3 linked regions of the Ovis aries genome follow. The protein of the gene in region 2 interacts with the protein of the main gene of each other region in a pairwise test. Links are inferred from orthologs where the notes say so. Each region holds a gene or a part of one and is shown on either strand. Other genes may lie near its edges. The genes, in order: APOD, VAPA and CACNG1.

Region 1 (4,154 bases), on a different chromosome or scaffold from region 2:
AAATGCCTCCCCTGGCTCCACCTCCCCACGCTACCCTCCACTTGCTGGCTGTCTATCAGTCCAGGAGTAGGCCTGGGAACCTTGGGGACTCCAGGATCACCTTGACTGGGTTTGCATTCTGGCTCTTCACACACTAAGTACAACTGTGTCCAATGGATGCTTTAATTTCCTTGGCATTAAGTGGGAATAATAATCATACCAACCTTGTGAACTTCCAAGGGAACTAAATGAGAAAATATAGACAGCATTTAGAGCAGTATCTGACACAAATGCTCAATAAATGCTATTATGAAATGCAGAAGCAAATTGTTGTATTTCCTGAATTTCTCTTCCTTCCTTCTTTCCTTCCTCCTTCCCTTCCTTTCTTCCTTAATATTCTGTTGAGGCTAATTTTCATACATGCTATACATTTAAGCAGAGGGGCCAGTAGCTGATGTGAGCCCAGAGCCCTTGGGTGCGGAAGCTGCTATTGAGGGGGTGCACAGTGGGCAGGGGTGGGGGCTGCAGCGCTGCTGGAAGGGTCGAAGCCTGGGCTGCTCCCAGCTTCTTTCACTGACTTGCTCTCAGTCTGTTCTCTTCCTTGTGAGTCCTCGCCTGGAGCTGCACGAGAGCTATTTCCAGCTCTTTGCCTTTCTCCCTGTGATGAAGAGGCCTGAATTGAGGCAAGCAAGATGTTCTCAGATTTGAGTTTTTAAAAGAATGTGTCATAACTGGGATAATTATAACCACTTTCTTAAGAATCTCTAAATCTCCAAATAACCTTTAATAATCAATAGCTCTTCTTCTGGAGGTTTTGTTGCGTGTTTTTCAAAAGAACAGTTACATAACGAGTAAAAGTTGGTGTGAGGTTGAGGGGAGGAGGGACGGTCCCGAGTCCCTGCCTTGAGCACGTCTGCGGTGAGGGGGGTGGGGCGGGAGGGGGGCTACTTTCCTTAGTCTCCGAGGCTCCGTTTCCCATCAGCCCCTGACACCAGGTAAACAACATCTGTCTTTTAACCTTTTAGGGGATGATGGATTTGCCAAAATCCAGCCTAAACCCACAAAAATTTGCATTCCTTTCTAAGCCGTGGTTAGAACCACTGAAGTTCTACTCTTGGCCCCTAGTCGGCTCCAGGCTCAGTGTCCTGCCCAGGAGTTCTAAGCTCAAGGATGGCCACACTTTATGCACATTCTCCACGGCCCCAAAACTGGGCAGAAACTTAGAGGTCATTTATCCAACCCCTCCCCTCAGGTGTACCGATGGGGAAGCTAAGGCCCAGAGGGGCAGAAGGCCGGGGCTCAGGCCCCATCTCCAGCTCTCCATCCTGCCACAGCCCTGAACTTTGCTGCCTTCTGTGACCACATTCAGTGGTTTCAGTAAACACCTGCCTCTAATACCTGATGAATCTCATTTCACCACATGACAGTTCGACCCAAAGTCAGCTCCTGACAAACATCTTGTTACAAAATGTTCCGTAGTGAGCTGAAATGTGTTCTTTAGCTCTGCAGGATTTCAGAGCATAGCTAATTATCCCGCCTGCATCTCTTCCAAAGATGCCTCTTTATTACAGTAGTTTTAGTCCTATGATTAAACTTCTTGTGAGAGAAAGAGTTGATAATATCCATCAATTTTACCCAGTGCCCCTTGCATTCTAATTCATGCAATGCTTATTGAGCAAGTTCTGAGGGTATATCACATTATTAACCTGTATCTATGAACTTGGATATGTATGACTTACTTTTGCATCTTCTTCTAACACTAATGGGAAGATGGTCCTAATGAAGAGAGTTCGAATACTTTAAAAAATAGATATAATTTAAATATTATCTTAACTGAATATTAAATAATTAGAAAAGAATTCTGCTAAGGTTATGGTGCATCCACCCTGGGCCAGAATTGACTCTGTGTATTACTACTTACACTCCTTGAGCTTCTCCAGGGAGAAGCCCTGGTTTCAGTATTTTACATGGACCTGAGTCTCTACTACACCTAGTCTGGAAGAGTCCTGCACTAACATTCTCCATGTGCTCAGTGAGGTTACTTCCTGATAAGCTGTGAAGCCAGAACTTGGACCAGGTTTCCTAAGAGTCTACACACCCGCATGATAGTGTGGACCTGGTATCTGGTCTCAAGGAGCTTCAGAATATTAGGGATGAGACTTTTAGATTTCACATGACAAAATAAAATACACTTCCACAAGTATATGGGTCTTAAAAACCATTTTGCTATTGAATATAATAAGAAATCATATCGCCTAAAGAAAATTTTTCAGGAGATAAAAAGCTTTGCATTTTCTGTTAATATTAATACTATTTAATTTAATTATTTTCATAATTAATTCTATTAATACTAAATGAATTTTCAGTTCACACAGCACATTCCAACTCACTTTTTGGTCAGTTTTACTGCAATGCACACTGGATAACCCCCTGAGAATTCATCTAGTACAGTATTGGTGTAGGAATAATTCCTCATTGTCTAATAATAGTGTCAAGGGGGTTGCCTGATGCAGACAGAGGACTTTGAGGTGAGTCTTTTCAGGGTGACACCTCAGCTCTGGCATGTGTTGGTGGTCTTACTTTAGGCCTGTTGCTTAGGATATCTGAACTTCAGTTTCCTCATTTGAAAAACAGCACTAAAAATATCCCCCTTGTAAGGTCGTTTATGGAAAAATGAAACCAAGTCTGCAAAGCAACTGGCCAAAGGCCCTCAATCATCTTAGTTATTATTTTTAGCTGAAATGAGAATTAAAACCACAGTACATACCTTTTTTATCGAGGTGAAAGCAGTTTCCGCACGCAAAATCATCCACTCTGAGATGCCCTGTCTTGGTGACTGACTTCTCCCAAGCTTATTTTATAAGCCTGTTCAGGTCACTGATGTTTAATTTTAAGGCATGCCCCGCCCCCTACAGTTCAGGAAGGCTGGTCTAAAAGCTTTGCTCTGTATGAAACACAAAGATGGGATGTTATATTCATCTCCCTCCCCCAATTTCTTTCACAGCTGCTCTCTGAAGAAGAAACAAGGAGATATTGTTCGTGTGTGTGTGTGAGAGAGAGGGAAAGACAAAGTGTATTTCATTCAAAACATCTTTTTTTGCTGTGTGGATTTTCTAATTTAATTTTCTCAGTCAGAATGCACTTTTAAGTTCCAGTAAGGAGAGTTGCAACATGTGTTCAAACATCTGTTATTTATTTTTCATTTTTTGTGTAAATGAAAAAGCAACAAACCCCGTTTCCCGAAAATGGAGCCTGAATTCCACCCATGTGGTCCCTGGCCTGGAATGTGACACAGCCACGGAGCGAAGGTTAGGAATGAGAGCTGGCTTTCTATGTGATCCTGGGAAAGCCACCCACATCTCAGAGCTTCAGTCTCCCCACTGTGAAGGACAGACTGTCATTTCTATCTCCACCAGAGCTAGGCATGTAGGGCTAAAAGCTGAGAACGCCAAGACATCTTCTGCAGCTTCTCTCTCTGTGCCTTGGATGACCCTCCCAGCTGCAAATTCTAGGCAGTCTGTTCTGCTTGGGGTGAGAGAGGGAATGGGGGCAGAGGCGGGGGAAAATGCAGTTTTAAGCCCAGGGGCACTTTTGGTTGGGCTGCTTCTCTCTCTGCGGAATGACCAGCTTTGGAAAGATTCTTTCTTAGGAACTGGATTCTGTGCCTTTGTGAATATGCAGAGGGTTTTCTTTTATTGTTTAATTGAAGTATAGTTGACTTGCAATGTTGTATTAATTTCTGCTGTACAGCAAGGTGGCTCAGTTACACATATATATTCTTTTTCATGTTCGTTTCCATTATGGCTTATTACAGGATGTTGAATATATTTTCCCACGCTGTACAGTAGGACCTTGTTGCTTATTCATCCTATATGTAATAGTTTGCATCTGCTAATCCCAAACTCCCAGTCCTTCTCTGCTTCCACCTTTCCTCCTCCTTGGCAAACATAAGTCTGTTCTCCATGTCTGTGAATCCATTTCTGTTTCATAGATAAATTCATTGGTGTCGTGCTTTAGATTCCACGTATAAGTGATATCATACGGTATTTGATTCTCTTTCTGACTTTCTTACTTACTATGATAATCTCTAGGTCCATCCATGTTGCTACAAATGGCGTTATTTCATTCTTTTTTATGGCTGAGTAATATTCCATTGAATCTGTCTGTCTATATAT
Region 2 (3,646 bases):
ATGTTACCCAGCCATTAAAAAGGAAACCCGGCCATTTGTGACAACATGGATGAACCTTAGGGGCATTACACCAAGCGAAGTGAGAGAAAGACAAATACTGTATGATGAGCTCACTTATACACGGAATCTTAAAACAACAACAAAGTCCCAAACTCTCAGAAACAGAGATCAGGTCTGTGGCTAGAAGAGTCGGGTATGGGGAGGAGCGACTGGATGAAGGTGGTCAGAAGGTACACACTTCCATATAAACAAGATAAACAAGAACTGGGGATGTAACATACAGCATGGTGACTACAGTTAACACTGCTGTGCGGTACACTCAACACCTGTTAAGAGAGCAGATCCTAAGAGTTCTGATCACAGGGGAAAACAGTGTTTTTTTGGTAGCTGTATGAGACAATGAGTGTTAACTAAACTTACTGCAGTAATCGTTTCACAATGTATGGAAGACTAATCTTTATGCTGACACCTTAAACTTATACAGCATGTCAACTACAGCTCAATAAAACTAGAAATAAAACAAGTCAACCCAGACAATGTGCTACTGTGCTTTCTTGGTTCCGGTAAGAACTACACAAGCTCTTAGCCTCCTGGCAGCCTCAGCAAAAAAGAAAGTGAACTCTATGTGGGAAGTGTCAAAACTTCATCAGTGCTACTACACCATCAGAACCTCGCTCTCCAGTAAGAACATGTGTTCACATTCTCTATCTTTGGCAAATATTTCAAAACCACCTTAAAAAGGCATTAAAAACACAATAAATGATTTGGTCAACACCTAATTGCCACTCAGGCACTTTTTTATTTCAGCTTATCCTCAAAGAGAAACACAATAATGGAGCCCATGTATTTAACTTGCAAGTTTACTTTTCAACAGGGGAAACGGCTTCCAGAGCAAAGACAACAGTCATGTCAGATTATAACCTAATTGTGCCAAACCATGCTATGTGTTCATATTACTTTACGTTAAATCACATGCACACAAATCTAAAGACCCCTGAAGTCCTCCTAAAACCACAGAAAACATTTAAATTTGAATTTCACAAAAGGAACAGAGAAAGTGACCACAACCCATTCTCTAAGGCTATTTTTCAAACTCTCTCTCAAATTTTATTTGCTTCACACTAATCAAAACGCAACATGAAAATCACTTACTAAGGGATAAAATCAGAGTTATTTTGACAAATAACAATAGTGAACAAAATACCTGGGAATAGCCAAATCTGGAATAAATGTAAATTAAATGTCCATGTAAATTAAATCTTACCCGCAGACTGCAGGTATATAGCTGCTAAAAGGGAGTTTATGTCTGTAACTTAATTATATTTATGTATACACACATCTTATTCTAACGAAGAACTTGAAGTGGTTTAAGTGGTAAGATTTTGGTAGGAAGAGATGGTTCTTCTCCATCATGCAGCTTTTTAAACTATTTCTTTTTTAATCATACTTTTAATCAAAAGTTACCTTAAAAGTACTTTTCCTCTTGAACAAATAAAATGTTATAACACAAAAAGAGCACGTCCACACCATGTTTTTAGAAAAAGCCTGAGCACCGAATCTGGAACAGCTGTATCCTACATCACACACCCACCAAGGCCGAAACCAGCAGCAGAAGTTAAGTCTCAGTGTAAGAGCTGAGCAGCTTCCAAGTTTCTTAAATTTTCCTACTTACCAATTTATCGTTTTCATTGGGCATTTCAAATACACATCTCAATTTAGAATCCATTAATTCATCGGGTTTTGCTTCTTTCCACTAAAAACAAAGGAAACCAAACAATGAGACAGAGGAAATACAGTTGCGACAACTAGGTTTCCTCTCGAGGGACTAAAGGGTTAGAGTAGCTGCCTGGAGGCAGGGGTTGGGGGGTTTCCAGGTGCCACAGAACTTTCTACAGAACCTTATAAGAGCTACTGTCACCACCATTAAAACCTCACTGACATCCCTAGAGATGACCGGGCTTCACTGTTAGCACTGGACTTCTAATCCGTCTCTAACAAATATGACTTCAAAATTCCTTCATTCTTGACATGAGTTAGGATTATCCATAGTAAAGAGATGTACATATTTTTTTAATTTTAAAAAGTAGGTTTCTCAACGAAGAACTAAACAAAACCCAAGTTTAAACAACATTCCCCCAAAAGATTTCTGTTCAATTTTTCTACTCACCACAGCTTCCATGTCTGAAATGTTTGGTGGAGCAAAGATGGTCTGTACCATAAACTTGTGTTTACTCTTCTCATTGGGGTCATAGTCAAAAGGCTGCAGCATTACTGAAGAAGAAAGGACATATCACTGACTTTTGACCATTCCCAGCACTCACTCTCTAATTTGAAAATTTAAAGAAAACCAGCAAAGCTGCAAGAAACACTGGATTATTGAAGTTGATTCAGAATCAATTTTATGATTTTCAATTATTTTTACCTTGTCTACGTTTTTAAGTTGCTACATCTTTAACAACCCACAAAATAAACAAATGACTATTTTAAAAAATAAGTATCTATAAGTGCCCTCTCTAAACTTAAGTTTGGAAAATTTTCAAAACTTTGCTAACATTAACTATTACAATGCCTATAAACTCAAAATCTAGTAAATTTGTATTTAAAACCACTTATAAATTTAGTTTTCACATTAGTATTTAGTGATAACAGCTCTTAAAATCAGACAACTAGAATATTTATAGGAGAAATTCTAGGTAACTTAAAACTCACTACCATTCATTAGTGCTTCAATATAACTAGCTTTTTCTAAAATAGATTTTAAATAAACACCTATTCAAGAGTTTATCAGTGTGTTTAAATGAGCCTAAGACAACAAAGTGTAGAAGGAGACCATACAGCCTCATGATTTCTGAACTTTTTCCACTGTCCTACTAATTATATTTAAAATTTTTTACCAAGCATTTATGGTTTTCAATGGCCTACAAGAGGTTTTTTAGAGGCTCTGTATGGTTTAAATTATGTAATATAAATCTAATAAGAGATTATAAAGAATGAATCAGCAATTCCACAAAATATGTACACAATACTGTGGAGTTAACTTTCCTGCTAATATTTAGATTATTTCTAAGACAGATGTCAACATTTTCAAAAACTCAGATGAAATTAAGCAAATGCAAGAAATAGCAATTATATAAGAACTTCTTCTTTATAAGGTAGGTCTGAGAGATCCTTAACTCCCATCATGGTAAAAAAAAATTTAACAGCCAAATATACAACAGTAGAAAATGCACAAGACAGGGGGAGTCCCTGGTGGTTCAGTGGCAAAGAATCTGCCTGCCAATGCAGGAGACGTGGGTTCAATCCTTGATCCGGGAAGATTCCACAGGCCACAGGGCAACTAATAAGCCCTTGCGCCACAACTACTGAGCCTGTGCTCTGGAGCCCAGGAAACACAACTACTAAGCCCAAGTACCTAAAGCCTGTGACCTGCGCAAGAGAAGCCACTGCAATGAGAAGCTTGTGCACCACAGCTAGAGAATGCCCACCCAGCAACAAAGAACCAGCACCCATAAAAACATGAATCAGCAAAATTGTGGAGAAAGAAAAGAAACGCACAGGATAAATGTGTGTTTATCCAGATAACGCACAATGTATCTCCAGGAACACCTTTCACTGAACAACCACCCCAGGATATTCACTAGAAACT
Region 3 (4,111 bases), on a different chromosome or scaffold from region 2:
CACAGACATTTCCTAGAATGCTTGGAAGCCATGCCCCTCCCAGTCTTTGCTGAGGAGCTCCGTGCCAGCAGACAGCCGAGCACTCCGCGAAGTGGCCTCCGCCGCTGCCTTAGCCTCTTTCTCCCTTCCTCTTCCCCTCCTCTCCTTCTCCGTCTCTCTCTCCCTTCCTCGTGCTGTCTCCCTCCTTCTCTCTTTCTCTCTCTTTCTTCACACAGCTCTACGTAAGCCAGAGGTGAGAGCTTATGGCCTTCTCAGATCTTCCCTGTGCACACTTGTTGCTCTGTGGACCCTCGTGGCCTCCTAAATTCCCAGGAATATGTTGGGGCTTTTCAAAGCCACCTATCTTGTTCTGCAGTTTTCTGGTGAGCCTATTGTTTGCTCTGTTATCTGCTTCCGTAGGCAGTTAGGATATTAAACAACTGTCTCTAATTGTTTCTGACAAATGCCTCCTGGGTAAAAGACTGCTTCCACGGGATGAGCTCAGAGTCAGGTCAAATAAAGGCAGCCTTGCAAAGGCGAGCTTCTAGGGAACCACCAGACAGATCAGATAATGACACCACTCTGGGAGTGAGGCCTTGAAAGGGGTCCAGCCCTAGTCTGCCCCTTCTGGTGGCTTCCAGGCAGCTGGCTTCACTCTGATGGCAGGCTGTTGTTTTTTGAGCCTGTGACGCAGTCAGGAAGGAAAGAACTGGAATAGCAGCTTAAAAAGACACCACAGACCTCATTGTTCTACTGGGATTCACTCCTCTTTCTTGAATAAGCACTTGCTTATTGCTGCAAGACTGGTTAACTTCTAGAGTTCTGAAAAAGTTTATTCTGACCGTGTTAGCCAATGTTCTCATTGTTTTTATGGAGAAAATAAGTTTTGGAGGTTCTTACTCTGTCTTTTTTTCTGAGGTCACCCAAGGTTAACGTGTGTAATATATGTGTTTGGCAGACAGCGCTGTACTTGTAGATGTTGTTGGTAACTAATGAGAGAAGGCATATGAATTCTATTCCTCCCGGAAACAGTGATCCAGTGGAGCTCAGGCAGGATGGGTGCGGAAGGAAAACGATGTCCCCTTGCAGAGAAAGGAGAGGGGAGAAGGCAGGAGTGCACCTGGACAGCTCATCCAGTGCTCACAGGCTTGGAAGGTGCGATTCACTCTGGACCAGGAGAAGGTGGCCTAGAGGTCGACTCAACTCAGGCTTGCGGCCAGGCCGAGCCGGCGCATCCCCTGTGGCCAGTCCGGTCACGTCCCACCAGCCGTCTCTCCTTGTATAGATTTCCCTCACCACCCTGCTCATCTGCTCTGTAAATTCACCAGGCTTTAAAAGGCCAAGGACAGGTGGACCGTAACAGTGCGATCCCATGCACAGTCCCTGGAGAATGTGCCCTGCCCAGGAGGGCTGGCGGGATGGTGCATCTGTTTATGGGTGTGCTCAGCAGTGGCTGCGGGGCGTGGGCATCTGGGCCACATGATACCCCTCGAGCACATGTCTGTGCCTGTGAGAGCCCTCAGGCTTGGGGCTTGCTGTGTCTTCCAGGTGTCCGGTGGGAGTGAGCAGGGCTGAGCTCTCCTGGGGTCAGCGGGGGGCGGGGGGGGGAAGGGCGAGGAAGGCCAGGGGTGGAGGGGTGAGGGTTGGGCTCCTTCACCCCCCACAGAGACCGCAGGGTCTTCGGGACTTAGCAGTGCCTTTCTTGAAGGGCAGGGTTCAAGGAACACCCAGTCTGATAACAGACTAATTTGAAAACCAGGTGGGACCCTGCACTCACCCCGGTCACCGGCCACCTTGGGGTAACTTTGGAAGGAACGCTGGAGGGGACTTTGGGTTGCTGGGCCTGAGCCCGTGTGGTAAAGGAAGGCGCCGAGTCTGCGACGGGCTTGTCAGCGCCCAGCCCTCTGGGGTGGTGGGCAGGGCCCGCACGGAGCCCAGACTCTGACGCGGGCCCCCGGGCTCCTTCCGCAGCGGGCCTCTGCCCACTGAGAATGTGGAGGCTCCACGCCTGCGGAGAGGCTGGCCACCCTCACACCAGGCGTTCCCCACAAAGCGCCTTCACGTGCGGTCGCGCAGCACTAGGAGGCTGAGGCAGGCATTTAAATCCCAGCGAAGGAAGCGTTTTCTGAGTCTGAAGGGGACCCGGTCGGGAGGAGGCGCAGGGCACACAGTCCTCGCACAAAGCGGTCCCGCCTCCCGGGCGAGTCGCCGCTGGGCTCCCTCCTGCCGCCTTCACGAGGGGGAGCCCTGCACCCCCTTTTGCACAGGGCCCGGCTACCCTTGAGCGGCGTGTGGCCGCACTCCAGCCTGGAATGAACTCGCCCAGGCGGCCCTCCCACCTGAGGCCTGCGTTCGGTGGGGGCCGGGCGTCCAGGCTGAGTCGGCAGACCCGCGTTCTCTTCGCTGAGCCGCGGTCTGTCCGCCCATCCAGACCCCTGCCCGCTGCCCAGCCCCGAGCCCCAGCGCACGGACTAGCTGGAGGCATTGCCCGCGCTCCGCAGCCCGGCTCCGCCCCGCCAGCGCCGCCCGGCCGGCCCACCGCCGCCGCCCAGGCGCGCTCGGGTCTCCGGAGCCCCGTCCTCCCGCAGGAGCGGGCGGGGCGGGTGCCTTACCCCCGGGCAGGGTGATGGGGCCGCAGCTCCTCTCCTTGTCGCCCACGAAGATTCGCTTCGTGCAGATCCGCCAGAGGCCGAAGTGGGCCGCCTCGCAGGTGGCGTTGTGGTGCTCCACGTGGGGGCTCAGCACGGCCCAGTGGTCTGTCACCACGGCCACCAGGGCCAGCACGATGCCCACCAGGATGCAGAGGAGGGCCACTCGGACCTTCAGGGCTTTGGTCGGGGACATGGTGGTCCCGGGGCAGTGGGCACCTGGGGTCTGTCGGCCGAGTCCTTTCGGGCCGGGGGCAGCTGGGCTGGGGCTGCGGGCAGTGGCTCCAGCCGGGGGTGGAAGCTAAGTTTAGCGTGCCGGGCTGAGCCAGGGTGGGCTGGCCGTGGGTGAGGCCACTGGACGGGCTCAGCAGCTGCCCAGGCGTGTCAGAGGCCTGAGGAAGCTTCTATTAATGAGCACCCCGGTGCCTCACCCAGGACGGCTGCTCCTTGGGTTTCAGGGCTGGCTTCCCTCCCCGGGGCCAGGAGCACACCAGGGTGGGGCAGGAGAGAAGGCTCAGGCCAGCTGCAGACTCGCCACCCTCAGAGCCCAGCTCAGGGGTCCTGAGCTGGGAGGGCGAGGGGCACAGGCCTGGCGCTACGGTGCCAGCCTCTTCCTGCTGGGGCTGAAGGAGGAGTGAGCTGCTGGGGGAGGGCACAGACCCAGGACACAGGCCTCTGTCCTCGCGTGGGAGCAGGTGAACGGGGCTCTGTCCTGGGGCCTGGGGGGCCCACCCGGGGCCTCTGGCGCCCACAGCCCAGGGGAGTACGCTCTAGACCTGAACCCCACACCCCAAGCCGCCCCAGGTTGCTCCTGCACTGTTTCCTTGTCAGTTCTCTCCCCTTCCCTCCAACTGGGTCCAGAAGGAAAGCTCCTTCGGGGGCTAGCAAGTCTCTCACACTTCCTGACGCTCGCAAATGGACGAATAGTGTGGGGAGAGCAAAGCCCCCGGCCTGACCGGAGCGCAGCGCCACTGCTGCTTCCGTTTCACTGTTGTTCGTCGCCAAGTGGTGTCCAGCTCTTTGCAACGCCATGGACTGTAGCACGCCAGGCTTTTAGTTTTAGGTTTACTTTCTATTAATGGCAGGTAATAAGGATTTTCAGGTTATATTGTCCTTTACAAAGTAACTATACTTCAGTGAAGAAGAACAAAAGTAGACTGATTTACAGGTGACTGTTAAGTGGCTACTGGGTGTATGGATTCAGCAGAGGACACTTGGGGTTTGGGACCACCAAGCAAGGGTCCTGACTCCTCCCTCATGTCCACCCATCCCACCCCCTGGCCGCAGGCTGGTACTCCAGGCTGGAGCCCCTACACCCTTCCGGGTCTGTGTCTCCTCTCTCAGGCCACCAGGAGCCTCTTTTGGGGTGTAGTCAAGGGGCTGATGCATAGCCAGGAGAAGACCCCTGAGCCGGGTAGGGGTTTGACTTCTGAAATCCTGGCCTCAGGCTGACACAGCTTACAAAAAGACTCTCTGTGTGAGGA

What was found.
Region 1: the proteins of VAPA (region 2) and APOD interact in binary tests that used the Homo sapiens proteins (3 or more experiments, as listed by UniProt). The two-hybrid records come from large-scale screens. The link is inferred for Ovis aries from reciprocal best matches to the Homo sapiens genes VAPA and APOD.
Region 3: the proteins of VAPA (region 2) and CACNG1 interact in binary tests that used the Homo sapiens proteins (3 or more experiments, as listed by UniProt). The two-hybrid records come from large-scale screens. The link is inferred for Ovis aries from reciprocal best matches to the Homo sapiens genes VAPA and CACNG1.

Annotation. Positions count from the first base shown.
Region 1 is NC_056054.1:192,884,200-192,888,353, reverse strand, and holds the start of APOD (apolipoprotein D), read right to left. Parts: upstream 2,814-4,154; 5' UTR 2,789-2,813; coding exon 2,747-2,788; intron 1-2,746. UniProt on the Homo sapiens protein: APOD occurs in the macromolecular complex with lecithin-cholesterol acyltransferase. It is probably involved in the transport and binding of bilin. Appears to be able to transport a variety of ligands in a number of different contexts.
Region 2 is NC_056076.1:42,429,355-42,433,000, reverse strand, and holds part of VAPA (vesicle-associated membrane protein-associated protein A), read right to left. Parts: intron 2,272-3,646; coding exon 2,168-2,271; intron 1,754-2,167; coding exon 1,673-1,753; intron 1-1,672. UniProt on the Homo sapiens protein: Endoplasmic reticulum (ER)-anchored protein that mediates the formation of contact sites between the ER and endosomes via interaction with FFAT motif-containing proteins such as STARD3 or WDR44.
Region 3 is NC_056064.1:62,288,367-62,292,477, reverse strand, and holds the start of CACNG1 (voltage-dependent calcium channel gamma-1 subunit), read right to left. Parts: upstream 2,931-4,111; 5' UTR 2,824-2,930; coding exon 2,592-2,823; intron 1-2,591. UniProt on the Homo sapiens protein: Regulatory subunit of the voltage-gated calcium channel that gives rise to L-type calcium currents in skeletal muscle. Regulates channel inactivation kinetics.